Lytechinus pictus: one gene and its partners. The protein of the gene in region 2 interacts with the protein of the main gene of each other region in a pairwise test. Links are inferred from orthologs where the notes say so. Each region holds a gene or a part of one and is shown on either strand. Other genes may lie near its edges.

Region 1 (7,834 bases), on a different chromosome or scaffold from region 2:
TAACACTTATGAAGATGTAGATGATAGTCGCCATTCTATGGAGAGCTAATAAGTACAGGGGTCAAGACGTGAGAAAATAATCAGAATGCTTTTGGCAGACCAAAGACCTAGGAGGAAGGCTAGGGCAGCATCTCTATCTATACCTGTCTCAGTGCCATCCTCCTTCACCTGTACAAATTTGCTCTAGAGACTGCCACTCTAGAGCTAAGTTCTACAGCCACTCTCGAAAATGTAAGACCCTATAGCGCTACACCATCGTCTTTTAAGACGAACTGATGCCTACCAATCATTGGACACATTGATATAGGGAAAACATGGAGAAAAGACTTTCAAATTCAAATAAGACACTAAAAGCCTATTCAGTACAAGAGTATGGATGGACATTAAAACAAATAAAAATACACACGAAATGGATCATAGCCAAAACCTTAAAAGGATTCATTCTAAGGTGAGCAGCTAATGTCGAAATCTGACATCTCAGATGTGACTTCACCTTGACCTAAAACTTGAGAATTAATAAAAGAAACGAGTGTTCTTACTGAAATCCCTTTATATTAGCCATTACACGTATAAGCCTCGGAAAGTAGTTTTTTTCAAGATGGCGTTTGGCGGCCATCTTGGATTTGATCTGAAGATTGTCCTTTATGCAAAATTACAACATAAAATGAATCAACAAACCAAATGACTCACGAATAGATTTAATATTCATGATTCTGGGGCAAAGGGTTCAAAAGTTAACATTTAAAAATATAAAAATGGCGTCATATGGCGGCCATCTTGGATTTGACCTGTAGATAACATTATATTGCAAAATAGATAGCAGAAATGGATTCTACACACCCCAAAACCCCTAAACAAAGTTGTTACTCATCATTCTGGGGAAAGGGGTTCAAATTTAATTTTTCAAGATGGCATCTGGCGGCCATCTTGGATTTGACCTGAAGATGACCTTATAATGTAAAAATGATAATAGAAATGGATTCTACCCTACCCTAAACCTCTAAAAGGAGTTATTCCTTATCCTTTTGGGGCAAGGGGTTCAAAATTTAGGTTTTTAAGATGGCATGTGGCGGCCATTTTGGATTTATGCAAATTAGCAAAATTGCCCAAAGTTGCCGTTTGGGCAACCAAGCTGAATTTGTTCTAGGACCCCATAGGAACATGAATCAAGAAAAAAACTTCATCGGAAAGACATTTCTAGGTTCGGAAAATGTCAAATCGACTACTTGCCACCAAGAATGATCTAGTCGACTGTGAAGTACAACTGAATTGTGACTGTGAGATCATCGCAACAAGGATCTAGATTTATGGCCAACAGCCACTCATTGTTGTGTCTTCCAACCGACCTCCTAAAAATGATGGTCTATGCTCAGTCTCTGTGCCAAGCAATCCAACAGATTACGATCAGTAATCCTTCTGCAGTAGTCTGGGTCAGCAGGGATTTCAATCTTCCCGACATTAATTGGAACACTGCATCCATCGACGGTCACCAATACACTGCTGCACTGAATGATTGAAGTCCACCTTCAATGATGTCGGACTGTCACAAATTGTCAACTTTCCAACTCGCACGGACAGAACACTTGATTTGTTCTTGACGAATACTCTCATGGATAAAGGACTTTCTTGAAGGGCGTACACAACAAGTTATACTTGACGGAAAGATGAGTAACAGCAATCCTGTCACACCGGGCATGCCCCAAGGTACAGTCCTCAGTCCGCTTCTGTTCACTGCAACCATCCTGCCTGTGGAGAATCTACAGGTAGGACTATGGTATGCCAATGCTGTATTGAGCACACACTTTAAAAAATCATTAAAATATCACTTTCGTGACCAAAATAACTAATTTCCATACAGTTGCAATTTATTTCCATTAGTAACTTGTAATTTTTGTATTCAACAGAGCGCTCAAAAACTTGAATTTTTGGCATATTTTTGTGAACACCCTCTATTGGTGGAAAGTAATATGGCAAGAAAATTTACATTTTTCAATCTCTATTTTTTATTCAGAAAAAATAATTTAAATAATCAAATTTACATAAGAGCCAAGTTATATGATGAACAGCTGTATTGGAAACTGACAGTGTAAGAAAATCAAGCATTTGTCCCATAAAAAAGAGAAAATAAGCCAAAATTGCCACCCTTATTTGCCACACATGGAGATGTAACTCACTAACTGAGAACAAGGTTATAACACATAACCTTGTTCATTGAATGAGTGGGCAGGCCCAGGGGCTGAGGGGCAGGGAAATGCTGAAAATTTACCCAATTTCATTCTTCTTTTTTGTAGCCAATAATTGGATTAAAAAAAAAATACATTTCTGTCATTCTGAAGGTTATTTCTCTTCAAATTCACAAAGAAAATGTGATATTTTCTTAAAATAAGATTTTTTTTTTTCCAGACACCCTATTTTTGTTTTCTTTACAATTGGAAATGTCATTGACATTAAATGTCATGATTTGGTACATAGAGACTGTGTGGAAAGTCTACTTTCACTGCTAATTGAGGGAAGTACCTATTTTTGCTTGTTTTAATATCCTATCTTTTGTGAATTTTGTAACATTTTAATACCGCCACTGGCTCACTCGTCAACATTATCAAAACCAATGTAAGGTACAAAACAAGACAATAAAATGAATATGTCGGACCAAGATGACCGAGTGAGAGCGAGTGAAAAGTTTAACCGATCAAAACACCCTTAGATCTAGGCCTTACCAAGACTTCATGAAATGACAATTGACCAAGCTGCACTGTCCAATCAACGTCCTCTCCATGTTGTGTTTTTATTCTTATGACGAGAGGTTGTGCTGCCATGTTTTATCCACTTATAGGTCTATTCGGCGAATAATACTACGAGTTCGGAAAATGTAAACCAACCAGAAATCCGGAAGCGAATACATAAAAAAAAATGAAGAAAGGGGACGAATTATTTTACTTATTATTTCAACTATGGTATCTTTGCAGCGCAGAGTTTGTAGGGGGCCGATCACTGATCTCTCCACTAGTGGAGAGATCAGTGGGGCAGATGGGTGTATGGGGGGGGGGGGGGGGTATTGGGGGTGAACATAAGAACATTCATTGATTATCTGACTCAGATCTCCCATTTTGGAGCGTCGTGGCCCAGTGAATTAGTCTCCGGACTTTGAAACAGAGGGTCGTGGGTTCAAATCCCAGCCATGGCGTAATTTTTTTCAGCAAGGAATTCATCCACAGTGTGCTGCACTCGACCAAGGTGAGGTAAATGGGTACTGGCAGGAAGTAATTCCTTAAAAAAGCTGTGTGCACCGAAAAGGTAGCCTAGCTTAGCCGGGTAATAATAGCAGGGCCCGCTGGGAGAACACTTTTCGGAACTGAAGTGGCTACCATGGGTAACTACCTTTATTATTATTATTATTATTATTATAATATACTCTGCTTTCTTCTTTCTTTCCTTTCCTCATTTAATGAAAAAGATAAGAGGATGAGAAAAGTTGAATAAAACAGGGATTGTAAAAATAAAGTTTCAGGTCAATATACTTTGCTCAAGACGATAACATGCATGGGGCTTGAAAATTTTCGTTTTCAAGTTTCCATTATTATTTTTTCAGCGAGATCGACACGCATCATGTTAAGAAAATGAGTGCTGAACAATATCACAAATTTCCAGTTCGTGCTTGCTTCGCACTCTTATTATTTGATTGACTGGCTAAATGTATAATCTTTATCAATTCCAAGAACAATATTGATCGTCCCCTTTTCCGGTAAGCAGACCTTGTATTTTAACTATTTTCCTCCTTTATTTGCATTCCATTAATTGTTTAGCAAGACACGCATCCTGTTCATGACTACAAAAAGATCATCAGAATGCCCAATTTAAGTAGGCCTGTATACCCCCCCCCCAAAAAAAAAAAAAAAAAAAAAAAAAAAAAATCAGCTCGCGCTTCACGCTCGCATCATTATAAAAAAAAATTAAACTTTCAGGTCTGAATACATGGAATATCCAACATTTTGAGCTCGCACTTTGCTCTTGCATTTTTTTTATTTAGGTTTTATTAGATATACTCTCTCTTGCTTGTAAGAATTAAGTTAAGATGTACTTAAAACATCGATCAGTCTTTGGTCCCTTTAATAGTTAATGTTACCTCCCCCCCTTAAAAACCAACAATCTTTACAGGCCGATCGGGGAAACTGTGGATGAAAATCTTTTCAGCCTGATTTGTACAGATTAGACAATAAGGAACGTTGCCCCCTGATCCAATGCATTCGTCATTTTAACTCATTTTTGTTTCATGTTCACTCCAAACAATCTATTCCAATTTGTAATAAAGATACATTTAGAGAATTTATATTAACAAGATCAGACGATTCTTTCTCAATATGAATAAATAAATGGATTCTATTCGTTCGAATAACAATTTGTGACAAGAGGCTTTTTAATAGATATTCTAACATTAAGCCATTATTATGTTATGTTTTTAATCTTTAGTAAACATTATACCACTTGGTACGTGAGAATGATAATGACACAAAGGTGTTTATATTTTAATAAATAAGGTTAACTATATGTGTGAACATCAGAGACAAAATTACCCAGCCATAAGTATGGGAGGGACAATTAAAATATATTATAAACACAGTAAATGAATTATTGTCAAAATTAAACAAAATTGATAATACATAGAATCTATTCAGTTCGTCAATATTCAAGAACACAGAATACATAAATTCGATCGGGTGCCGCCCTGGCATTATAGGCCTATACCTATTTCATTAAAATTTGAGTAGATTAATTTAGAGTTTCCCTAATTGTGCACTTTTGTTTGCATAATTTTGGATGACAGAAGGATATCAGGTACATGAGAAAATCCTATTGATTCACAATGATTTTCCCCATTTCTATTAAGATTTATTCTTGAGAATCTTCCCATAGTAGGCAGTGAACATACGATAATTAATTATTCACCGCATACAGAATATAATACTTAGGCAATATATACGATAATTATTAATATCAGCACACAATCATGACTAATACAATATTGAATAGCCAAGGCCCGAAGCTTTTCAGATCCAGCCATGCAATGAAGAACAAATAATTGCATTTTCTGCTTCCATTTCCCCATTTCAAATGATTTTTGTTGAACTCTTTTCTCGCTTTGTGCCGGCTGCTGGTACTTCCAGCGGCATGATTGATAAACATTGCTCGATTATGATTATTAGGCGGAGCTCGGTTTATACCTTTGTATCAGACCCATTTAATATAACGATCAGTTGTATAAAGCTTCGTGTGAAAAGCTTCACAGAATTTTGTCAGATTCGTGGATGATATAAAGAGATAATTCTTGTTATGGATACTAGTATACTGAGAAATGACATGACTACAATGTGGTTTGTGCGGCTGACGTGTTTAGATGTGTACGACTATAATGGATACCTGCAATATTAATGTTGGCGAAACGTTTTCTCCGAGGTAGAGATCAATTCGACGTTGGATCATGGGTCCATGATTGGATTAAAGGAACCCTCTTAAATCTTTGATCGACTGAGATATGTTGTTGTTCACTGGAGACAAGTGCAAATCTACATCGATGATAATGCAATGTCTATCAGTTCCAGTTATATGTGCCATTCTTCGCTCGTGAAGGGGTTTAATCATGGAATGTAAACAACAGAAAATATTGCACTGTTTTACGCCGCCTCAATTTGTCAAGTGAATGAATAGACCTCAAAGGGAGTTTAATACACATTATTAAAAGAACTGGAAACAATTATGAACTTGATCATCAATTGATTTGTAGAGGGCTGTCATATTTCTTCATTTTTCCTGAGGAAGAGGCCTCTAAATAAGTCTTTGGAGTAAAAAGCAGTATAAAGCAGGGAAAAGCAGACAACTGGCAAATATGACATTCAAGAAATTTTATCGGCAGAAGCTATTTGAGGCCGTCGAGTCGATGGATCTCTTGCTCGTAAAGACGTTCCTCTCTAGACCAGATGATTTGGGATTGGACTGGAACTACAGAGACAAGAACGGTCGGTCCGTCTATGCACACGCCATCAAGATTGGTATAACTCGTAAGTGCACACTTCTTTTAAAATAGAATTCATTACACAATATGAAATATGCTTTATCAGCAACCGAAAAGTTTTGGAATCATTTTGGTGAATTTTTGGAGGAAATTGGTGAAGGTAAAATAGAGAATATTTGAAATCCGAAAACGCCTATTATAGTCCCATATTAAAGATATTGTATCTGAAACGAGCTTGTGCTAAAGTAAACGTGATGAGGACATGGGGTGGGGGGGGGGGAGTAAGGCAAAGAAACGCTCCAATTTGTTTGGCAGTTTTTCAATGACTCAATGACAATAAATTCATACCTTCACAAAATGATAAAAACTAAAAATTATATATATGTAAATAAAGATCCGAAAAATGGAAATAAAATAAATCAATATATATATATATATATATATAATGATAAAAATATCATAAATAAATGAAGGAAGGACTGAATGAATGAATAAAATATATCACTTCTGAAAAGAGCAATATTTGAAATAAAATAACCTGACAAGCAAAAATAAAAAGAAATGAAGGAGATTGGAACTCTAATCCATACGAAGATTGTTTGCCTTGAAAGATCAAGGGGTTGAAAAAGAAGGCATATTGTTGTCTTGTTATCGATGATTTAACAGCACTCATGAGCCAAAATAAATCAAGAATGCCATGAGTGTTTACCAGTAATGGGGGGGGGGGGGCATGCTAAATACAGAAATCAAATGGAATCGATTCTTGCAATAAAATGTTAAAGGGTTCTGATCACTAGATGTATATAGTTTTAGACGCATATTACTATATTCGTTTGTGACATTCCATCCCCCGAACACAGAAAATCCATTTCGCATGTTATCTAGACCGATTGAAAGTTGGAAAATTACAAGTTATGCATTTGTATATACTTTCGGAAGTTTATGCCCCCTTTTACATCGTCTGTAAGAAGGTCTGTTTCTCTCCTTGATCCAGCTTGATTTTACTCACAATCTTCATGTCATTCTTGACACCCCCATCCAGTGGCGTACCGTGGGTCACGGCATTGGGGGGGGGGGGGGGGCACCAGCAAAAATATCTTAGGATATTTTAGGAATCCATTAAGTGCATACATATCTCAGCATAGTCATCTAGTACTAGTGCCATCCTTTGCTGATTTTGTTAGAATTACATCTAAACACATGAAGCACTTTTTGTTGTCATAGTCATACGTATCTCACTAATCAAATACTGCGAGCGCGAAGCTGAAAATTTAGGAAATTCAGACCTGAAAAAGGGGCATTCTACGGCTTGTTTGCAGGAATTCACTAAGACCGTACGTATTTCACTAACCAAATGATGCGAGCGCGAAGCGCGAGCTGAAAATTTTTGATATTGAGATCAGAAAAATTGACATTTTAAGGACTGATTTTAGGAATTCATGAAGAGCAGACGTCTCACCAATCAACTAATGCGAACATTAGCACGGACAGGAAATGTTTTATATTAATACCTTAAAATAGGGCAATCGCTTTAAGTATTCATGAAAAAGAAGCAAATGTCACTACATTAAACAATAATAACTCGAATTGCGAGGAAATATATTTGGTGTACAGTATATTGATTTGAAAACGGGAGGTTTTAGTACAACAGGATTATATATCTCGTTAAACAGTCTATGCGAGCACAAGGAACAATGAAGACATAGGCCCTGAGCAAATAATGTTTCATAAAGTGATGAAAAACTGCTTCTTATGTAATATAACATAATATAATATAATAAAACAATATAATGAACAATAATTTATTTTTTCCCCACTACGTTTCTC
Region 2 (6,978 bases):
CAGCAGTACATGTCGAGACTTGAGTTCCAGGTGTCCAGACAGTCCTTTGTTGTATAATGGTCATGATGATATAATCTCCATAGAGGTACATGTATTGTGAAGCACACACAATCTATAGGTCTAGTGCTTTTATACAAGACCACTGATCCATGGTGCAAGCTGCTTTGTTAAAATTGTATTCAATGAGTTCTGGGGAATCCCCTGATGTCATGAGCAACACCTCACACTGCTTTTATTGCATCATTACACGAGACATGACATGCACGATGTCATCCGGACATGGTGGCTCAGTGGTAGAGCGCCCGCCTCATGGACGGGAGGTCGTGGGTTCAATCCCCGGCCGAGTCATACCAAAGACTTAAAAAAAGGAACCTTCTGCCTTCTTGTCAGGCGCTTGACGCATGAGAACGGAGAAGGGTAATAATAACCTATTATGTTATGCAGGGCCCGCTGGAAGAACAGCTTACAGCTGAGAGTGGCTACCCTGGGTAAATAAGTGTTATTATTATTATCTACATGTATTTAAGAGGAAGTCCAACCTGAAGAAAAGTTTATTGTAAAAATAGCACAAAAATGGTAAAAGATATTGTAGATGGTTAGAGAAATATAGAAATAAACTTTGAAAAAAGCTATTGGGAATCCAACAAGAAGGACATACATGTAGATAGACCAACGTATTATGAGTTGAGAAAACCATACATGTATATGGCCTATGATTCAAATAAAATAAATATGAATATTTATTGGAAATGCACCTTCAGGAGCATGATCCATTTTCAAAATTGAAAGCCCTACTGTGCCCCTCGATGAATGAAACAATACCAGTTCCAATCATTGTAACTTGAAATATGCAATGAGCTGTACATCTATCTATGCTGAACTCTTGAACAAATTGAAACCAAGCTCCAGGACAAATCAGAGATCATCCAAGTTTGGCTCACAAGACATTCCTAGACACGTTTTTTCTTTTTTCTTCTTTATCGATGTCCAAGGAATGCATGTCTATGCATGTTCACACTTTTTCAGTACTTGGCCAACCTGTCTACATTTAATACCTCTTGGCTCTTTGAAATACATGTAACACTTCTCGGCCTCCTGAGCTCAAAGCATGCTTTGACCTCTATTATTATTACCCATCTTTTTATTCTCAATAAACCGTCTGCTTTTTTTGCTCCTCAAATCGGCAGCAATAATTTGTTTTCTATTCATTTTCATGTCCAATTTTAAAGAAAATTCAAGGGGAATATGAATTTGATTTTTTGTTATTTATCATTTAAAATCAACTTGTTCTTTAATAAGTTGTTGGGATGATGAAGTCTGTTAACTTCTTTCATTTAAAAAAAGTAAAAAATTGATAGCCTCTTTGCATTAACACTGCAGTGTACACATCACATACATTTCATATAGGAATGTATGTAGAAGGGGAGAGGTTTTAATCTTAGTTTATATCCCTTACTTAAGATTGTTGTATTGAGAGTGTACACAAGGAGAAAAAGAATAGTTTTACTACGAAAAACGTTTGCCATGAAATAGTTCATTTTCCTTGCTGACGTCACACATAGTCCATTTTTTCCCTAGGGAAAAAGTGAACTATACGTTTTTTGACCCCGCCCCCTACTCGATTCGCGAGCTGTGCGGCGCGATGCGAGCAGAGCGCTGCTCAGCCCAACGGTACTCTCTACTGCATGCCATGGGAAACTTTCGACGAGCTGCACTAACCAGGTGCGCTCGCTGAACAGACGATCAATACGGCAAGGCTTATTGTTTTCTCAACTTCTCAACGATTGTTCCATCATCGACTTATTAAAAATCGTTTTGCTGTAAAAGTCGGGTATCAACGAAGAATATCGTATGAAGAATATATATGAGTGGAAGGGATATAAAACAAATATACAATGACCCATTCTCGGAACTGGCTAAAACTATTTGCACTCAGGAACATCACACGATGGCCCTCGGGAGAATAGTACTATATGATGTTCCTTCGATGCGAATAGTTTTAGCCAGATCCTCGAGTGTCATTGTATATTTGTATACTATAAACTTCAAAAGAAAGAAGAAGGAAAAAAACCAAGGCCCAAGTGTCAGATTATAAAGCAGCATTATCTATTCTTCAGGAATTCAGAATGTAATATAAATAACCTTGAAGAAGTAATCCTTTATAATACGCAGCTCTTCCAAGCTAAACTACATAATCGTACAATCTCCTTTTAATATGTTTGTAGTTTTCCATACACTTTTTAGAATCTCTCACTGGAAAATCCCCATGAAAATCCTCTTTCACTGTTTAGCTCATCCAATATTTATAGATTTCCATTGTAGGCAGTAGGTTTTGAATTGTAGTCTGGGTCCACGAGAAAAAAAATCCTGACCTTTGTCTTCATTTGAAAGAAAGGACAAAATATTTTTATTCACAAGTCAGATATTTGAAATGGAAATAAAAAAATGTAGATATTTTAAATACATCCATATCTTTTGTAGTTTTCCATACACTTAAGAATCTCTCACTTGAAATGAAGAGCCATACCCTTGATGACATTTTGTATGCAGGAGACCCTGTGCCCCTGGGAAGCCTTTAGGGTCAAGATAAAAAAAACCTGACCTTTGTCTTTATTTGAAAGGAAGGACAACATATTTTCATACACAAGTCGGATCTTCAGAGGAAATAAAAAAATATACATCCATATATCTCCAAATATGTTTTGTAGTTTTCCATACACTATAGAATCTCTCACTTGAAATGAGGAGCCATACCCTTGATTACATTCTGTATGCGGGGAGACCCCGTGCCCCTGGGAAGCCTTTAGCGTCAAGATAGTGATTGTTAAATATCTCTGTGAACCCATCCTGCAAATGATGCGCTATATTTATCTCCTCTTCTGACTTCAGAAGATCAGATGTTCTAGGTTCATTTATTGCGCATTTATTATGCATGATCAGACCCGTGTTCAGTGTAGTATAGGCCATGTGTTGTTGGCCTATGTACATGTACCTTCTCTGTTTATACTGTGATATAAATGATAATTCAGGGCCCACTGGAAGAGCAGTCTTATGATTAAAGTGGCTACCCTGGCCCCTTAGTAAATAAAACATTGTTATTATTTGTGTTTACAATGTACAGTGATGTCTAAAATCCGATTTTGAGAAATGTTTTCTGTATTTTCCTGATCACATTTTCCATCGATTTACATAGAGTTTATGTTAAATCGGTATTTAAAAAAGGTATAAACTTGATGTTTTTGGTCAGTTTTCTTTGAGGGTACATACATGTACATTTTATGTAACCAACTATTATGCCAAATTAATTTTCTGATGATGACGAACCACAGGTTAATTTAAGCAAATGACCATTGAGGAACAACTACAGCCCATAGATGGTTTATAGCCTACAGACTGTACATGTAGGTCAGTAGGCCAAATTAATTTTTTCAACTCCATTTGCAATCAGTGGCAGGGTGTGAAGTCCAGCACCCGATCAATGTCCACTCATCAGAAGCGAACTACATGGAACAATGCGATTCATGTACACTACACATTTTTCATGGGCCGCTAGATAGTTTAACTGCTGAGATTTTTTATAAGTTGGTAGCCGGGGGGGGGGGGGGGGGGCGGGTATGGAGTGCGATGGCTGATTGAACCCCCTAAATCCTAGCAAGAAAAAAAATAGGGGAGGAAAACAATTCATTGACATGAAATGGCCATCAGTTTTGGCTGATCAGTGATGACCTTTGTTTTTCTCGTCAAATTTTCAAGCCACATTTGCAACCCAACCTGCCTTTTGGAATATTCCTGGCAATGTACAGTACTTTTCCATAGATCTGCCCATTCAAACTCAAAAGTGTCAATGGCAACTAGCTGGTAACATGACTCCATTATTCATAGCTTTCTCGGTGACGTCATGTCAGTGATAACATTGTGCAATCATTGTATTCATTTGGATGTTCATAGTACACATACATGTACATACATGTACAGTATCAAATGATCTACATGTACATACAATGTACATGTAGGATGCCCTGGAGCTTGTGAGTGTGTATTGTGCTGCCAGCTTGTAAAAGATACCAAACAGATATAGGCCTACATACAACTATTTGAATTTTAATGATTGGGCATTAAGATTAAAATGATAAAAAGTGAAATCTAATCCGGGAAATTAATATTGTTAGTGTGGTTCATGTACTACAATGTACAGTGTATGTTTGGTCTCTCATTTGTTGTTAAGATGTCTGTACATTGTACTTTGTTGACATGTGATCTACACTGTACAGTGTACAGTGTTCCTTATCTTTCAAGGATCAAACCTTGTTTGTTTTCCGCTGTATGCCAAAGTCTACCAACACCAAGGATTGTCTAATGAAACTTGATATTCCTTATTATGATTATTGGCATTATATGTACATGTTTGGATTGTCTGCCTATAAATAACACAAATACACTGTATACATTGTAGCATAATTATTTACTCCGGTCCTGACTCCCCATCCCCCCCCAAAAAAAAAATGATTGGGTACATGTTCAGTCACTGGTCCTCAAATATGTACAGCTGAATATACTGTACGTATGTAGTGCTGGATGTTAAAAACACTATTTTTTTTTTTTTTTGCAGGATCTACCTTACATGTAGATCAGGAATACAAGGCCTGGAACCTGATGACCACATTCCATTTGATCATTCCATCACTCATCACCATCCTTCATCCGGTGGATGTCCAGCTTACGGCAAAAGATATCGCACTCTCAACTGGGCGATATAACCCAGACGACGATTGACCAGAGAAGTTAATCAGAAGAGCTCATCCTCTCTTCCCAATCGTGTGAATTCGCTCTCATCCGCTATTACCCTCTCTCTGTCCCTCTCTTCAAGCTGCCGATGCTCAAATACCAATTCGTCGTCGGCAAACATCGCTTCGGATGCTTGAGAGAGAGGAAGGGGGCGATATTGGATTATATTCACCGGCTATAATTACACCCAGTGAATAGCAGATGGGATCAGCTGACTGGGTGGCTTGTGAGGACACTGTTTAAACCTGTCATGGACTTTTGCCTTGGGAATCAATGTAGAAGTGAATAGTGTGTGTGATCTGTGGACGTCTTAAAGCCAAAGGTGAAGGTTTACTCGGAAAGTACTTGAGAGTTTTAACATATTAAAAAGGGGATGAACTCGTATGATATTTCTTACTATTGAATTTTGATGACTATGTATGAGATGGATCTGAATAACATTGATGGATAAATATTATTTGCTTCATGAATATTAAATCATTGTCAAGGAAACGAAGCCAGTCCAGTTGACAGTTGGAACTGCTGCCTGGAAGTGACCTCGATTCACTCATTTATTGAGATTTATTTTCCCCCCATTATGCCTCTCTATCCTTTTGGGACGATATGAAATTCAGTCTACTGTTCCTAATGAATTGCCAGACGTCCATTAGTGGTGCGGAGTAGATGCCATTCAATGGTTGGTTTTGGAAATTAATAATTATTTGGAATACAGGCACATCTTCTTGTGGTAATGTGGTAATTGTAATCTTGATCTGCAACAGCATACAGGACTGTTTTTAACAAGTAGTTCTGATGATTTGTGTCTTTATTTTGGAAGCCTTTGATTTGAAATTGTGGAGACATCAGGATTCTAGGGTCACAATCGCAATGGAGCGATTCAAATCTCATTCTTGCTGATTTGTACATGTGGATACCGCCAAGACTATATTACAAAGGGTGAAGGAGCCATCAAAGATTGCTAACCAGGAGCTGCGAAACTAACCAGTCAAGATGACGGACCCGTCCCCTGCCGCGCGCAACCCCATCATCCTCTGTAGGACTTGCGGACAGCGCCACCAGCTCCACGACAACCACGTCTACGACTACTGCGATGTCGTAGACGAGGAACTTACGTGTAATATATGCCTTCAACCACTAGTGAACCCTATGGATACTATGTGTGGACATACGTTTTGTATGCGCTGTCTTAGGAGTGTTCTGAACTTGCATAAATTCTGTCCGATCGACCGGAGGCCGTTGACACAGCAGGATTGCAGATCGTCAAGTCTTATCGTCAGAAGGTGAGTGATGTATTATAACAAAACAGAGCCGTTTGAACGGTTTGATACATGTAAAGCTCAAGCTGTTCGTAAATTGATAGAGACTTTAAGAACGACTGGTGAACTCCAGTATATACGTGTACCATCGTTAGTGACAGTTTTTGTCTACACAAGAAAGGATCACCATTGGTTCTTAAAGTAACTTTTAACTTTATCAACAGCTTTATGGAACACGCACCAGAGCCACATCTTACAAAGAGTTATTATTGAGCCAGTCAACCTCGGATGGAAATACATCAATGTTGTAATTTTTCATCCAGGAAATTGGCACAACGACCCTTTGTCATTAAAGAGGAGCACACTGAATTGTCAAGACAATGATGCATGTTTGATATACATGTACATGTACATGTACATCATACATGTATACAGCGTACATGTATAATTTAGAAAACCTTTTTGTCAGACATGCATTATTATAGATTGCGGTTGCTGGCTTGCCATACTTTTGGCTGATCTGATCAATCAAAACTATTTGTAAGATGGGATTCAGAGGTTCCTATTGACTTTATATTAATTCTTTGATTCTGATAGGCAGGGTGCTTCTGCTACATAACTTTTTAGAAGCACTTGCCCAGTTGGGCAAGTAAATTTTTAAATAGCTGGAATATACCTGCCCAAAAATCTATTTCACTTGCCCGAAATAAATTATTGAAAAAAAGTTTTACCTCTTCAAAAGAAAGTTTTGCAGTTTTATAAACCATTGACCTTTTTCTCTCAAACTGATCTACTTTGTTATTGCATTTCTTTTCCCAAATTGATTTTATATTGCCTGCCATGACCAAAATTAGGATCAATATCATATCGACCCTAATTTTGGTCATTCTACTGTGAGAATTTTGCCTGCCCAATTCGGGCAAGTAGTTTCGGTCTT
Region 3 (7,312 bases), on a different chromosome or scaffold from region 2:
TTGTTAATAAATATGATATATTATTTCATAATTTAATTTCAAAAGTTTGCGAAACAATTTTGATATTTGGCAATAAATTTACAAATGGCGTCATATGGTACATCAAAATAAATGGGTGACACAAAAGACCTTCCTTTTGAAGAGTAAGACCCTTTTATGCCATCAGCCTGGAAGTTGTTTTAAATTAAAAATCAAACTTGTATCAGGTCTTAGGGTGTATGTTTCACAAGATGCTAAAAATATCACATTTATGCCATGTACAGTTAATCCTTTTTAGCACTGCCAGGTATTATAACTTGATTGATTATACATTCAACTGGACAGATTATCTTTTGTTGGATTACTACATATTCACATAATCAATTAATCATCTCAACTTTTCTCAAGCATACTTTTAACTTCCATGATATTTTGATTGACAGTTTCTTTTCAAAGTGTTTATATCTATCAATCATTTCACAAAAAATTTGATTTTTCTTTAATAGCTAAGATACATGCCCATTGTCTCCCAAAATGAATACATTTATGCCCCCGTAAATGAAATATATATGAAAAGGGAAGGGTGACGGGTTTTCATAATTAATGCCCGAGGTACAAATAATATTGCTACATGAACTTATCCATGTTAACAGAAAAGTACCATTTACATGTGTTTAAAGGTATTTGATGAAGTACTGTGTGAAATTACTTTAGTATACTGTATATATCTTGAATGTAACGACATAGGAGTGTTGTTGTAAAGTTTTAAATATCTATCTGAAGTAAATGCAGTGCAATTCCTAAGATGATTTTTAAAGATTGTTTTACTGCATGATAATAAAAAAATTTCTTGTTGATATAAAATCTTCTTTGAGAATGGGAATTAAATAATTCAATTCAATTATATTCAAAGTTTATTTCAATCAAACAATCAGTCAATTAATCAATCAATCATAGAATACAAATATATACAGATTTAGATAAAAACAAGTGTTGCTAAATACATACATGAATTATTGAATTGATTTAAAACTGAATGAATAGTAAATTTTGAAGCATTAACTTGAAAAGCACATGAAGATATCTTTGAAGTTGAAAGAACACTGATAAATTACTATCCATATTTGGCTTTGAGAAAGAAAGATTCAGTTCAAACCATATTGCACAAGCCAAAGACAAATGTAATAGAGTCTCAGCAGAGTGCTATTCATTTTTACTTCTTTATCCCTTCTTATGCAGATATTTTGTAATGTTGAAAAAAAAATCCAAGTATGTTTCTTGCCAGATGATCAGTTGGAAGAACTCTAAAACTTCATCATAAATTTATTTGTGTTAATTTTCTTGTGTTAAACAGGATTTGATATGTCTGACTTGTATAATTATGTAGATCTCTCTTTTATAAACTATTTACATTTATGTATGCATTTTCAGTTTATATACCAACTAAGATGTAATTAATTATGTAAAGTAATCTTTGTGAAAATGTTCAATTTTTGTTGGATTTTTTTCTTCAGAAATACATTTATCCCTCGTTTAAAGTTATTGTTCGATGAGCCAAAGATTGTTTGCATTGCATGTGTGTGATATTGTCCAGTCATGTTGTTTTAGTGGGAGAAGGCTTGAAGGGGAAGTTCACCCTGAAGAAAAGTTTGTTGTAAAAATAGCAGAACAAAATAATGAAAAATATTGGTGAAAGTTTGAGGAAAAAGATCAAGAAAGTTATTAGAATCTTAAATTTTGGATTTGTGACGTCATAAACAAGCAGCTGCCCCATATGTCATGTAAATATAAAATACAATATTTTCATTTTTTTAATGGTTCGCTTTGACTTATTCTTGTTTCCTTTTTAGGAATGGGTGTGAAATGATACTGAAGGTTCAGTAAAACCATTTTTCATTTTCTGAGAAAATTACATTTCATTGATTTTGTTACCATAAAATATGTAGGAAAGATGCTTGCATATTACATCACAAATCAAATAAGTTAAATTTTTTATTCAATGATGGATTTTTCTCAAACCTTCAGCAATATTTTTATTATTATTTTTTTTTTGTATTTTACAATAAACTTTTTTTCAGGGTGAACTTCCCCTTTAAAAGCCGGCTTAAAAGTTATGTAAAGAAGGAAGAGAGCACAAACATATTATTTTGTTATATGATTTATATGAAAGTGATTAAAAATGATTCTTGACATTATTTGCTTGTTGAAGATGGAACAAGCATGACAACTGTTCCATACTGATAACAACTTATATGGCCACTTGCTGCCAATATAATGGTTTGCATAATTTTTCTTTATTTCAAAGTCCAATATGCAGAAATTTCATAAGTTTGAATGCTATGGCCCCTGGCTGCCAATATAATGGTTTGCATAATTTTTCTTATTTCAAAGTCCAATATGCAAACATTTCATAGGTTTGAATGTTAATCATAAAAGCTTTTATCTCACTCTGAGTGCAGTTATGAACCAAAGATTTATTTGTTTCGGGGGTTGTTGTAAACTTTCAGAATAATTAGTTACAGAATGTCAACATTTACAGCAAATTTATGCATTTATGCACCTTCTAGTATTGTCATGTATTGGAAGAACTTTCGTGTAATGAACCTTCAGATGAACTGTCAATTTAATGAGTAAATAACTTGAATAACCTGAGGATAAACATATTCAGTATGCTTTGCTCCTTCTTAATGTTCATATTACTCTTCAAGACAATCTACCAACTGCAAATTGACAAAATCACAACATGTAGACGAAGAGGGAAGGGGGATTCTCAAATGAATCATATTAATTTGGTACTGATTGGCAATTGCTTAACTTATGATTATTCTTGTGCACCCTGTTTTGTGTGTAGTCATAATGAATATTTTATGATTAAGTATTTGGAAGCATACCCTTTTCTGTAAAGTGATTTTCATGAAAGTGATGAAATATATATATAAATAGTATTAACGTCAGTTCAATTTCATTTGTCATAATTATTTCCAACTGGAAATGGACTGTCAAATATCTACTACAATCTCATGAAATTTAAGTCTGTACTAACTCAATTCCTTAGATATTTTACCACATTATACTGGTCAATCACATGGTATTAGCCCTCCAAAATCGCCTTTGAACAAGTTTTCTGCCAACTGAAATCATCATGAGACAGTTCATAAAGGAGAAATTCAATTCACCCTGATGATAATTCAGTTTTAACCCCCCCCAAAAAAAAGTATTGTTGCAGGTTTGATGAAAATCTGTCTAAGAATATGAACTTATAAGGTTATGGATGCTTAAAGTTTTATTTTGTGACGGAACAGAAAAGTGGCCCCTCAATATGTTTGGTGATATAAATTCCCCAAATTGCCATTTTTTTGTCAAAAAAATTGAACTCATATTTTATTTGTGCAGGGGATGTATCAGAGGTATCATTTCATTCCTTCTATAAAGGGGTTTGAAAAATATTTTTATTCCCATTAAAAAATTTGAATTGTGGGATTATATCACATTAAGGGGGAGCTGCTCGCATTATATGACACGTACAAATGAAAATTATATTTATGGCTCTCTTATCCTCTGAAGGATTTTCATTAACCCTTACCAATATTTTTCTCTATTATTTCTGCTTTTATTAAAGAGGAAATTCACCCTGAAGAAAAGTTTGTTTCAAAAGTAGCAGAAAAAACAATAAAAAATATCGAAGGTTTATTAAATATTAGGAAAGTTATTAGAATTTAAAGTTTTGAATTTGTGATGTCATAAATGAGAAGATGCAGCATATGCAATATAAAATGCATAAATTTCATTTTTTATTGGTTCATGATAACTCTTTTTTCTTTTTAGGAACAGGTGTGAATGGTTTGTGTATTGTTATACAGGAGGTACATTAAAATCCATTTTTAATTTTTCTCAGAAAATGGAAAAATTGAAAATGGATTTTATTGTACCTCTGGTATAACAATACACAAACCATTCACACCTGTTCCTAAAATATGTAGGAACGCTGCTCACATATGATCACAAATCAAATAATTAAAATTCTAATAATTTTTATAATGCTTTGATGGCTTTTTTTCAAACCTTCGGCAATATTTTTAAAAATTATTTCTTCTATTTTTACCATCAACTTTTTGTCAGGGTGAACTTCCCCTTTGAAACATTCTAAATGCATTTACTGTAGGTTAATTAGATCTTTGAAAGTATTACATTCAAACACATTTAAAAAAAGATCAAGTGGAGGTCAACAATATGTGCTCCTTGGTTGAAATTCAAGTTATGCTCCATTCCAAATGTTTATCCAACATGCTCTTGCTCAGGGATTTTTTTTTTTCGGGGGGGGGGGGGGGGGGTAATAACCCAAAGCTAATGCCATTTTGTCCATATCATTTAAACAATAGAGGTATTATATTATAGAGTTAGTCAACCCAGAAATACTCTTACACTCTTACTTTCTCATTTCTTACTGTTTCCCCTTCCCTTTTTTTCACTACTTTGAAAATCATAATGGGCTGGCACCAGAACCTCTTGATAGGATAGAAGATAACTTGATATTATAATTTTGGCAGTGACAAGATAAGGGAAAGCAGCACCATAATCTTCACTTCCGGGTGGTCTTAGCATATAAAATGTAACTATTGCTACTAGTGGAGAGAAACGAAGACAAGAGGAAGAAGGGATGAGGTCGGGGGAAAGGTCAAGAGACGAGGGATGGAGAGGAAGAATGAAAGAGGGGGAGAGAAGGAATGAGAAAAAAGGAAGTGAGAGAAAAGTGAGAAGCTAGCTAGCTAGAGAGGGCGCTACATCTGATTGCGCAACGGGGTGACATCTAACCATTTCTGGAAAGCGAGACAGCTACATTCGGGCTTTATTTTCTGGTTTTCAAAATAATTGAATAGGCATCAGTGACAAAATATGGAGTACATAGAGACCCAAGATTCAACACAGTGTATGATGTAAGTATTCACTCTAATTTATGAGATTTTTTAAAAAACTTTTCTGTGATATTTCTTACGAGAGCATGCCAGTTGCCACATGTCGCTTCTTTTAAAATAATTTATCTTGTCTTCAGTCCCACGTGCTATAAATTGTGTCTTTAACCATGTTAACTTTCACTTGATTGTGGCTGGCTCGTGGTTTGTGCAGAAAGTTTAAAGAAGAACTGGAAGTAGAACAGTGGAATTTTTTTCCATGCCCATTTATTATTCAAACGTTGGTGAGACCAATCCTGGAATACGCCACTGGTTCACCCCGACCATTCGCCATACAGAAAAATGTACGGGGTGGGATAGACAGCTGGCAGCCGTCTGTTTCGAGGAGTTTTTCAACATTTTTTTATTTTTTTAATTTCTCCTCATACACAGACGGCTCGCTAGCGTGTCGCCACCATTAGGGGAGGTACAATGCAAATTCCCCCCGACGGGGCTCATCGATTTTTGTCTTTATTTCATAAATATATATGAAAATAAATCAAATGGACAAATATGCGAATTAATATTCCCTCTTGGCATTAATTGCCAAAAACCAGGGAAAAATAAAGTTAAAAGGAAAAAAAACAGCGACTTACCGTGGCTGTCGTGTAGTTCCTAGTTCACTCGTTCATCCGAAGTCGATATAACACACAAACATATGCCGTTGGAAGAACTTCCGGGTCAACTGCGTATCAAAACCATTGGCCAATCAGATCATCTCTTTTACGTCGGGTTTATGAATACTAAAATTCTAGACGTTTTTTTCCATTTTCCTTTATCTCTTTCTCTTTCGTTTTCTCTCTTTTTTGTTTTACTTTTCTTTTTATTTTTTATTTCCCCTTTTTTCTATTGTTTCTTTAACTGCTCCTTTCTTTTCCCCTTCTGTAATGTTGACGTAAAGGTCATGGGGCGGAGTCTGACTTTCGTCGGCCACTTTTTCATGAATTATTCATTACCAAGATGGCTGCCCACTAGTCCGAGTCGCAAGTGTCAACTTTCAGAGTTAATCCCCTGATTGCCAATTTTAAAGCGGGAATTTAGGGTAAGAAACTGTCGTTACTTATACATTTTCAGCTATAGGTGCATATGTATGAACTTTTGGTGGAAAATATCGCGGTATCGAGGAGAAAAACAAGAAATTAGCTGTGGCCATTGAGCCCCTGTACAGACGACTGTTTAACTTCGGTCTATGTATTTGGTGAGTGGAGCCAACGTAGTTCAGCGGAACAACCAACATAACAGAGACCGAAGCTTTTGGTCTAGGGGTGGGACTGATCTGAGACCAGTGCCGCTAACACTGTCATTTCTATGTAGGAACGCGCGAAGTAAAAGAGTCTGACTTACCAATTCTTGTGTTGACCCAAATGCAGATTTTGGTTCTACTTTAACAGGATTCCAATGCCCAATGAGTCAAATATCGTCCTTCAATTGAAGATTTCTTTCTAAATCGGGTAAAATCATAAGGAAATTTTTCCTTATTCTCGTCTGGTCCATAGTCTCCTACGCAAGGCTCGACATTAGCGGTGGCCCGGTGGCCCAGGGCCACCAGAAATTCACCTCGGGCAACCATTATTGATAAAATGTTAAGTTTTGGTGGCCCGAATCGGGCAACCAATAATTTTCAAAGTAGCGCAATTTTTCTCCCGATTTTGCACGCATTTATCAACTTTCTACAGTTCAAATTGCAACCCAGTTCGTCATGCGCCCTTTGTGTTGATCTACACACAAAGTTTGCATATTAGTAGAGTTACCAAAAGGTCGGCCGATCCACTGAGCAAAATTGCTATGGGCAAATGAAAAGCCAATTGCAAGTGCGTAAACAGTGTGCATTGCCACCATCGTCTGTTCTCGACGGCAAAAATGAGCATTGAAATGCTTTTCCTCAGCAAATTAGTTCATCTTAGTTACAAATGTTATTCCCTGTGCTTTCTATATTAAAATTGACTTATGTGGGATGAAGTGTCTTACCTTCATGTGGTATCGAAAGTGACGTTTGGAGGTTAAATCCACAAGAAATCCACAGAGTAACGTCGCGTGTATTAGCTATGGAGAAAAATGCGTGCGATCGCATGCGTTGTTGCAAGCTCGAGATGGCGCTGTTGAACTTGGTCTGGAAATTCATAAAAAATAAACAAAAATCCTTTGAGTAGGCTCACAATAAAATCATAAAAAATATACTTTATGGCTTAAACGGCAGATCTCGTGCCCACACATATCATACTGACTGTTGCGTAAGAAACCCTTTTTTCATGATAAAAATATAGCAATAAATGTTTTAAAAATAATGTTTTTCACATGGAATATGTTTGAAACATCTATATTAGAAGAAAAATGTGTTTTTGGAATGAATTCACACTAAAATGATGTTTATACATGCCTGTACT
Region 4 (7,656 bases), on a different chromosome or scaffold from region 2:
TCTGTGGAGTCTGTTGACAATTAAGGCACAAGCTCCAGCCCAGGCATGCCACTTGTTCACTGCAACCACCCTACCTGAGGGGAATCTACATGTACATGTAGATCTATGCAGTAGACAACACACATTTAAACTAGAAATTTGACGTGTCCAAAGGACACAGATGCCCCCGCTTACGCGATCAGAAATTCATTCAATATGATTGAACTTAATATCGTGCAGAAATCAATATGCATACATATAATGAACAAACTAAGACCTTTGAACCAACTCGCATACATAATGAGCTGTGAACTTTGACCTGTGAACTCCAAATTCAAATTTAGCCTGTACTTTGGTGTCGTCTACCTACACACCCAACTTTTTTTTAATCTGTTGAATATTTCAGAAGTTACCATGTGGAAACCAACTCGCATATTTAATGAGCTGTGACCTTTGACCTGCGGACTCCGAATTTGAACTTAGACTTTATTTTGGTGTCATCTACCTACACACCAAAATTTGATATTAATTAACGATTAAATCAATCCTAAAACAAAAGGAAAATGATGAACAGACCTGCACACAACTCGTATTTAGTCATATATCACTAAATACTTGGGTGCAGGCACCCACGGGTACATTACCGCCGCCGTGCACAGGATAACCACTGGCACGGCATTTGCAATAAGTTTATTCGTCTTTTCTAAAAATTAGAAATATATCTACATTTAAAATGAGATAAGCTTTGGATATGAAACTTACCAAATGATATGAAGCCAATTTCATTTCCTCTCTGTCTTTCTGGTACTTTACATCGATGATTTTTCTTGATGTCGAAGCAGTCATGGTGCCGATTAGACAGCTGGCAGCCGTCTGTTTCGAGGAGTTTTTTAACATTTTTTTTTTTTTTTAATTTCTCCTCATACACAGACGGCTCGCTATCGTGCAGCCACCATTAGGGGACTTACAATGCAAAATCCCCCCGTCGGGGCTCTTCAATTTTTGTCTTTAATGAATCAAACTTTTGAAAATTAACGCGACCGAAATGCAAATTAATATTCCCTCTTGGCATTAATTGCCAAAAAACTGGGAAAATCAAGTTAAAAGGAACAAAAACAGTGACTTACCTCCGCTGTCGCGCAACTTCACTGCCCTGTTTTATCCGAACTTAATACACATAAACATATGGCCATTGAGTCCCCTGTACAGATCGCGCTAGAACTTCGGTCTCTGTATTTGGTGAGTGAAGCCAACGGAGTTCAGCTGAACAACCAACATAACAGAGACCGAAGCTTTTGATCTAGGTGCCGATTCGCTGGTTCTCTCTATACGCACAGAGAGGGCGCGCAATATTATTTAATAAACTTGCTTGTTTACGTCGTTTACGTCAGATCAGCTGTACTGCTGGTCGCGTTCTAGGCGCTCCGCATTTTTTTTCGCTGTTCACCGTAATTTTATGATGTAGCGCCAGCAGCGATTATACGTGAGATGCAACCTGTTGATTTTTTTGGTACAATTTCCTATTATGCGCCGAAGACTTGAATCTAGACTGTTCGATAGGAAAAATATGCATTTCGATTGTTGTTTGCGTAATTTCCACCGCAGTATTAAGGATCGGACGGAGTGTCTTGGCTGAGATTTGGAGGTAAGCATTTAAAATCCCTTTTTATAAATACGTTCGAGCACATTTTTAAAATTGAATTAAATGATAAGATTTAGATACCTAAATAAATTTAGTATATTGTGAAGATTTTGGCGTGTTTCATTCTCTCACGTTCATGTGATGAATGAAAACGTCAAAATTCATTATGAAATGACATGCATTGTGCGAGGTTAGTATAATAACTAACCTCGCATGTTGTGTGAGTGATTGGTACCAGGAGTGATACTAACCTCATACTAGTGTGAGTGGCCCGTCTACCCATCACCTAACCCAGAGAGCTCCAGCCCGCGTAGCGGGCTGGAGCCCAGACGCGCAGTGTACAAACGGGCATTCAGGTGAGAGTACCGTGAAGTTTGGTCAATATCATTTACATAATACATAATTTAAACAGAAATTAAGCACTTACCACGATTGTATGGATGATAGTCTAACGAGTGGCAGTTTCCTGACATCGAGGCACAGACTGGAACCTCAAAAAACGATCAGTTCTGTCGCGGTGGCTCTCCTTCTTTCAAAATTCATAGCAAAATGGCCGTTCGAGAGGGTGTAGGGCGCATGCGCGAATTTGACAAAGTCTATATGCGCTAGTGCTATACTAGCCTCGGTCTCGATCGGCCATTTTGTTTTGAATTTTGAAAGAGGGAGAGACACCGCGACAGAACTGATCGTTTTTTGAGGTTCCAGTCTGTGCCTCGATGTCAGGAAACTGCCACTCGTTAGACTATCATCCATACAATCGTGGTAAGTGCTTAATTTCTGTTTAAATTATGTATTATGTAAATGATATTGACCAAACTTCACGGTACTCTCACCTGAATGCCCGTTTGTACACTGCGCGTCTGGGCTCCAGCCCGCTACGCGGGCTGGAGCTCTCTGGGTTACCCATCACCCTGCACCAGATCCCCTTACCAACGATGATTATTTGCAACACAAGAAACAACGAATGGGACACACGTACCGTACAACTACAAGTACATGTACAAACTCAGTTCAGCTCAGCCGTCACGACGTCACTCATTCATTGGCAACATAAAGAATCGCTACTATACTATTACTATGATTTTGCTTTTATTTAGAAAATCATCACCAACACATTAAAAAATACACATGAACATAACCATGATCGTCATACTCATTCATAATGGAGTAAAATGTTTACCTAAATCGATTTTGAGCCTGGCGCCGGTGTACCGGCGGATCCTGCGCCTGGCAGATCCTGCGCCTGGCAGATACTGTTCTAGGCACCAAATCCGCCGGCGGATATGGTTCTCCTCCGGCGGATTCAGTACCAAAATAGGCCACTCCTTTCGGAAGATTCGGAAGATATCGTTCTTGCGCTATCGCGATATCCTTCATTCATCACGTTCACACGTCATGCATGCGATATGCACACTTTCTACACTTTTCCTTTGCTTTTCTTTCCTCCTTTCTTTTTGTTCTTGTTTGTAGAACTTTTTGGGACCATAGCCCAACCCTTCCATACGCAGTGCTGTGCGGTTGGGGTCCGGAATTTCTTGATATCAAAGCCATTTAAACCTCGCAGATTGCCGCTATTTTAATCAAATCGCGGGCATGTACAGGATATAGCTTTTACACAACACATTTATTCAACCCAGTTGCGAAATGAACCAAATATTTTGAGGGGCAAAACATAGTAATGTGGGAAAAATCTGTAAAAAGTCGCAAAGCGATCGAGCTGGAAAAAAATGCCTTTTGAAATTAAATTCTAATTATGTAATTGATTTTTCCATTAGATTCAGCAACTAACAAATTTCATTGTTTCCATTCATTTCATTATACCTTGTCTCCTTTAATTTATTTTATTTCTCTTGGGTGTGGAACCAAGACCCCCCCCCCCCCCCCCCCCCCCCCCCCGCCGGCGGCGAAATTATTTTTCCCACCGAGTTCTGGACCAACATATGAATATTCATGAGTTGCGTCTTCGGATTAAGAGTACGCATGCGCGTGGACTTGAGGACTACAGGCGCAGCGGCGGATTCGGTTCCACCGGCGGATACCGTATCCGCCGGCAGATATCGTTCTTAATGGCCGATATCGTTTTTAATCGGAACCATATCCGCCGGGTTTGACGCGGCTTGATGTTTGCAGATTTGGTCCCTCGGCGGATTTGGTTCTATTGACGATACGTGTAATATTTATTTGGACAGACGTCCAACCTCGGCAGCGCGCGCATGCGCGGCTCTGGCAATGTCGTTACCAATGGGGGGAGGGGATTTTCGTCCGCCTTTAGACTTTTAGTGAATTTTTATTCAGGGGCGGATCCATACAGCTTTTGACGAAGGGCTCGATGGGGGTGAGGGAATAGGAGAAACAATGACTCGATATATCATGTATACATAGACCTGGAACATGCGCCAAAACTTTGCTATTTATTATTATCAGATTTTTGAATGAAATTTTCATCATTTTGTTTTGTAGGCCCTACGTGAAAATTTATACTACTTTAAGTCCGCAGTATGCATCGAAATCTTTAACTGTGCTTTTTCACACCATGATTAGTGTAAGTTTGCCAGACTGGCGAAAATTTGTACCCCCATATAGGCCTATAGTTTTGATAAAACTACAGATTTTCAACGAGTTAAAACTTCATAATTTCAAAATAAATGAGGCAAATTAGTTTATGAATATATATTGCTGTTAACTCATATTATTGCTTGTAGAGTGCTAATTTTTTGTGAAAACATTTAAAAAAAGAATTTCAAAACATGATTAATATCTTATGTAGTTTATTGTAGGCCTATTTTTAATTTGTTTTTTTTTTATTCCTTTTTTTTCAATATTTTTGTTAAGGAATCTGAATTAAAGGGATGGTCCGGGCTGAAAATATTCATATCTTAATACATAGAGTAGAATTCACTGAGCAAAATGCAGAAAATTTCATCAAAATCGGATAACAAATAATAAAGTTATTGAAGTTTAAAGTTAAGCAATATTTTGTGAAAACAGTCATCATGAATATTCATTAGTTGGGCTGATGATGTCACATCCCCATTTTCCGTTTTCTTATGTTATCACACAAAACCATATTTTTTTCATTTATTTCATACTTGTGTGAATAATATGTCTCCCTTATAATGAAACAAGTTGCAGCAATAAATATCTAATGCACTAAATCAGTTGTCAATCCAAATTTTCTAGTTCTTGGAGGAAAAAATTTGAATAAACCTAATTTCATATAATAAATTACAAAAGAACAAGTTGAGATGTGACATCATCAGTCCACCTAATGGATATTCATGACGTAACAGGCGGGGGGGAGTTGCCCCCTGTCGGATTTAACCAGGAATAAAAGAAAAACGGGAAAGGAAAAAATAAATTAAAGGAGACAAGGTATAATGAAATGAATGGAAACAATGAAATTTGTTAGTTGCTGAATCTAATGGAAAAATCAATTACATAATTAGAATTTAATTTCAAAAGGCATTTTTTTCCAGCTCGATCGCTTTGCGACTTTTTACAGATTTTTCCCACATTACTATGTTTTGCCCCTCAAAATATTTGGTTCATTACGCAACTGGGTTGAATAAATGTGTTGTGTAAAAGCTATATCCTGTACATGCCCGCGATTTGATTAAAATAGCGGCAATCTGCGAGGTTTAAATGGCTTTGATATCAAGAAATTCCGGACCCCAACCGCACAGCACTGCGTATGGAAGGGTTGGGCTATGGTCCCAAAAAGTTCTACAAACAAGAACAAAAAGAAAGGAGGAAAGAAAAGCAAAGGAAAAGTGTAGAATATGATTTTATTTACTGAATATAATGCCAAAAAATAGCTCAAAGTTAGATTCTTCTTTGTGCAAACTTAATCTCTGATTAACGTCAGTCTGAGTCTGACTCTGTCCCTAATCATCAGAATAAAGGCAAAATGTTGAGGCTTTCCTCTTCAAGGCCTAATGTAACTAGAATCCGAAAGGTAGCTGGCTCTCAATTAGACTAAGGCTAACCCACCTCTTCTTCGAACTTCATTTCGCAACGTTATTCACGCGCGGTGCGCGTGCATGCATGACGTGTGAACGTGATGAATGAAGGATATCGCGATAGCGCAAGAACGATATCTTCCGAATCTTCCGAAGGGAGTGGCCTTTTTTGGTACTGAATCCGCCGGAGGAGAACCATATCCGCCGGCGGATTTTGTGCCTAGAACAGTATCTGCCACGCGCAGGATCCGCCGGTACACCGGCCGCGCGTTTCCGTTTTACACCCTGGCGAAGGCATTTCCCGGAAAAATAGCCACAAAGCGACTAGTGAAGAGTCTACGTCTACGTTTGTTTACATAATCAGCTGGGCGCGCGATCCAAAAGTCCGCACCGAGGATATCCGCAGAACATAAGTGCAAATGCAGCTGAGCTTATAGACCAAAAGCTTCAGTCTCTGTATTTTGGTTGTTCCGCTGAACTATATACGTTGGCTTCATGATTTTTTTAAAACTTTATCGCACATGATCGTTTATATGAATGAAAACGAATAATAGCTAAAATATTGAAAAATAAAACACATAATTACCTTTTTTCATATTATATCTATCCTTATATCTATCATATCTGTCTATCCACTATCTATGTTATAAATCAATCTATGGAACTACATGATATATCTATCTGTTAATTTGTCTATCTACTCTGTCTCTCTCATTCTCTATCTACCTATCTATCTGTCTATCTATTTATCCATCTAACATCTATCTCTCAAATTCTCTATCTATCCATCTGTCTCTCTTTTATTTCTATCTATCCATCTATTAATCTACTCATGTGCAATATCAACACTGCTTCGACTTCCTTCGGGAGTCTATTTCCTCAGCTCTACTTTTCCCTTTTTGTGCTCGATTCGATTCAATTACTACTTTATTTACTTGTTACCATTGTTAAATGTCTTGTATTGCATAATGAGTTTTTTTTTCTGAAGGTTGCCTCCTATTCTCTTTCAAATTCCACCGCTTGCTTTCCCTTCTCTTTGTCTTATCCCAATTCTTTCCCTTCTCTCACCTCTTTCCTCTTCTCTCTCCTCTTTCTTCTTAATCTTTCATCCCGCTTTTTTCTTCTTTGGTGACACTTTGTAGTACTTTTGGCCTTTTGTATTTATTTATGATACATTTCTTTTTCATCTGTATGAATTTGTATTGTATTTGATATTTATTTATAATGTTTACTTTATATTTTGTTATGATTCTATTCACTGGCGTAAATCCCGGGGTGGGGGGGGGTGGGGGATATATCCCCCCTCTTTTCGAGGAGGGGGGGGTGGCCTGTACAAACATCCCCCCACTTTTTACGAAAGAAATGGAAAAAAAATCACAAGAGATAATCGTTTTATTGGTGAAAATTCTTCCTAAAATACCGCTTAACAAATAAAACAATATTATTGAATCATAAAATGCAAATAAAGAGCCAGTTCACCATTTCCAAACGAAATACTTATGTCCTTATTAGAACATTGAAGAGAAACCCCCGTTTCTTCCAATTCATCAATGTTGGGGTCTTTGGGAAGGGAATAAGATGGAATGTCAATTTTTTTTAATGTAATCTCTAATAAAACCATTAAACCATCATGGGGTAAAAAAGATAATAATATTGGAGGGGTATTTGCCATAATTATGGACATACAGTGGCGTAACTACGGGGGCATGGGGGGGCACATCCCCCCCCCCCCCCCATCGGCTGACCAAAACAAAAAACGGGGAAAGGGGGAAAAGGAGAAAAGAGGGAGAAAGGAAGAGAAACGTATTGGGAAAGAAGAAAATGTTATTCATTATAATGTTATATTATATTATAATTATGTTATGTTACATTACATAAGAAACATTTTTATCATAACTTTATGAAACATAATTTGCCCAGGGCCTACGTCTTCATTGTTCCTGGTGCTATAATAATCCCTGTTGTACTAAAACATCCCGTTTCAAGTCAATTTAACCAAATATATTTCCTAGCACTTGAGTTATCATTGTTTTATGTAGTGACATATGCTTCTTTTTCATGACTCAAAAAGTGATT

Evidence for each region.
Region 1: the proteins of ligand of Numb protein X 2-like (region 2) and dual specificity mitogen-activated protein kinase kinase 5-like interact in binary tests that used the Homo sapiens proteins (3 or more experiments, as listed by UniProt). The link is inferred for Lytechinus pictus from reciprocal best matches to the Homo sapiens genes LNX2 and MAP2K5.
Region 3: the proteins of ligand of Numb protein X 2-like (region 2) and 60S ribosomal export protein NMD3-like interact in a two-hybrid assay, tested with the Homo sapiens proteins (3 studies listed by BioGRID and IntAct). The link is inferred for Lytechinus pictus from reciprocal best matches to the Homo sapiens genes LNX2 and NMD3.
Region 4: the proteins of ligand of Numb protein X 2-like (region 2) and selenocysteine lyase-like interact in binary tests that used the Homo sapiens proteins (3 or more experiments, as listed by UniProt). The link is inferred for Lytechinus pictus from reciprocal best matches to the Homo sapiens genes LNX2 and SCLY.

The regions. Positions count from the first base shown.
Region 1 is NC_087249.1:19,536,716-19,544,549, reverse strand, and holds the start of dual specificity mitogen-activated protein kinase kinase 5-like, read right to left. Parts: upstream 3,009-7,834; 5' UTR 2,817-3,008; coding exon 2,718-2,816; intron 1-2,717. Other genes in the region: short transient receptor potential channel 5-like, read left to right, coding at 5,882-6,053. UniProt on the Homo sapiens protein: Acts as a scaffold for the formation of a ternary MAP3K2/MAP3K3-MAP3K5-MAPK7 signaling complex.
Region 2 is NC_087250.1:24,234,759-24,241,736, reverse strand, and holds the start of ligand of Numb protein X 2-like, read left to right. Parts: upstream 1-3,953; 5' UTR 3,954-4,028; intron 4,029-4,034; exon of another isoform or gene 4,035-4,196; intron 4,197-4,609; 5' UTR 4,610-5,775; coding exon 5,776-6,065; intron 6,066-6,978.
Region 3 is NC_087245.1:29,841,966-29,849,277, forward strand, and holds the start of 60S ribosomal export protein NMD3-like, read left to right. Parts: upstream 1-4,293; 5' UTR 4,294-4,872; coding exon 4,873-4,913; intron 4,914-7,312. UniProt on the Homo sapiens protein: Acts as an adapter for the XPO1/CRM1-mediated export of the 60S ribosomal subunit.
Region 4 is NC_087258.1:5,796,942-5,804,597, forward strand, and holds the start of selenocysteine lyase-like, read right to left. Parts: upstream 3,012-7,656; 5' UTR 2,802-3,011; exon of another isoform or gene 2,601-2,801; intron 1-2,600. UniProt on the Homo sapiens protein: Catalyzes the decomposition of L-selenocysteine to L-alanine and elemental selenium.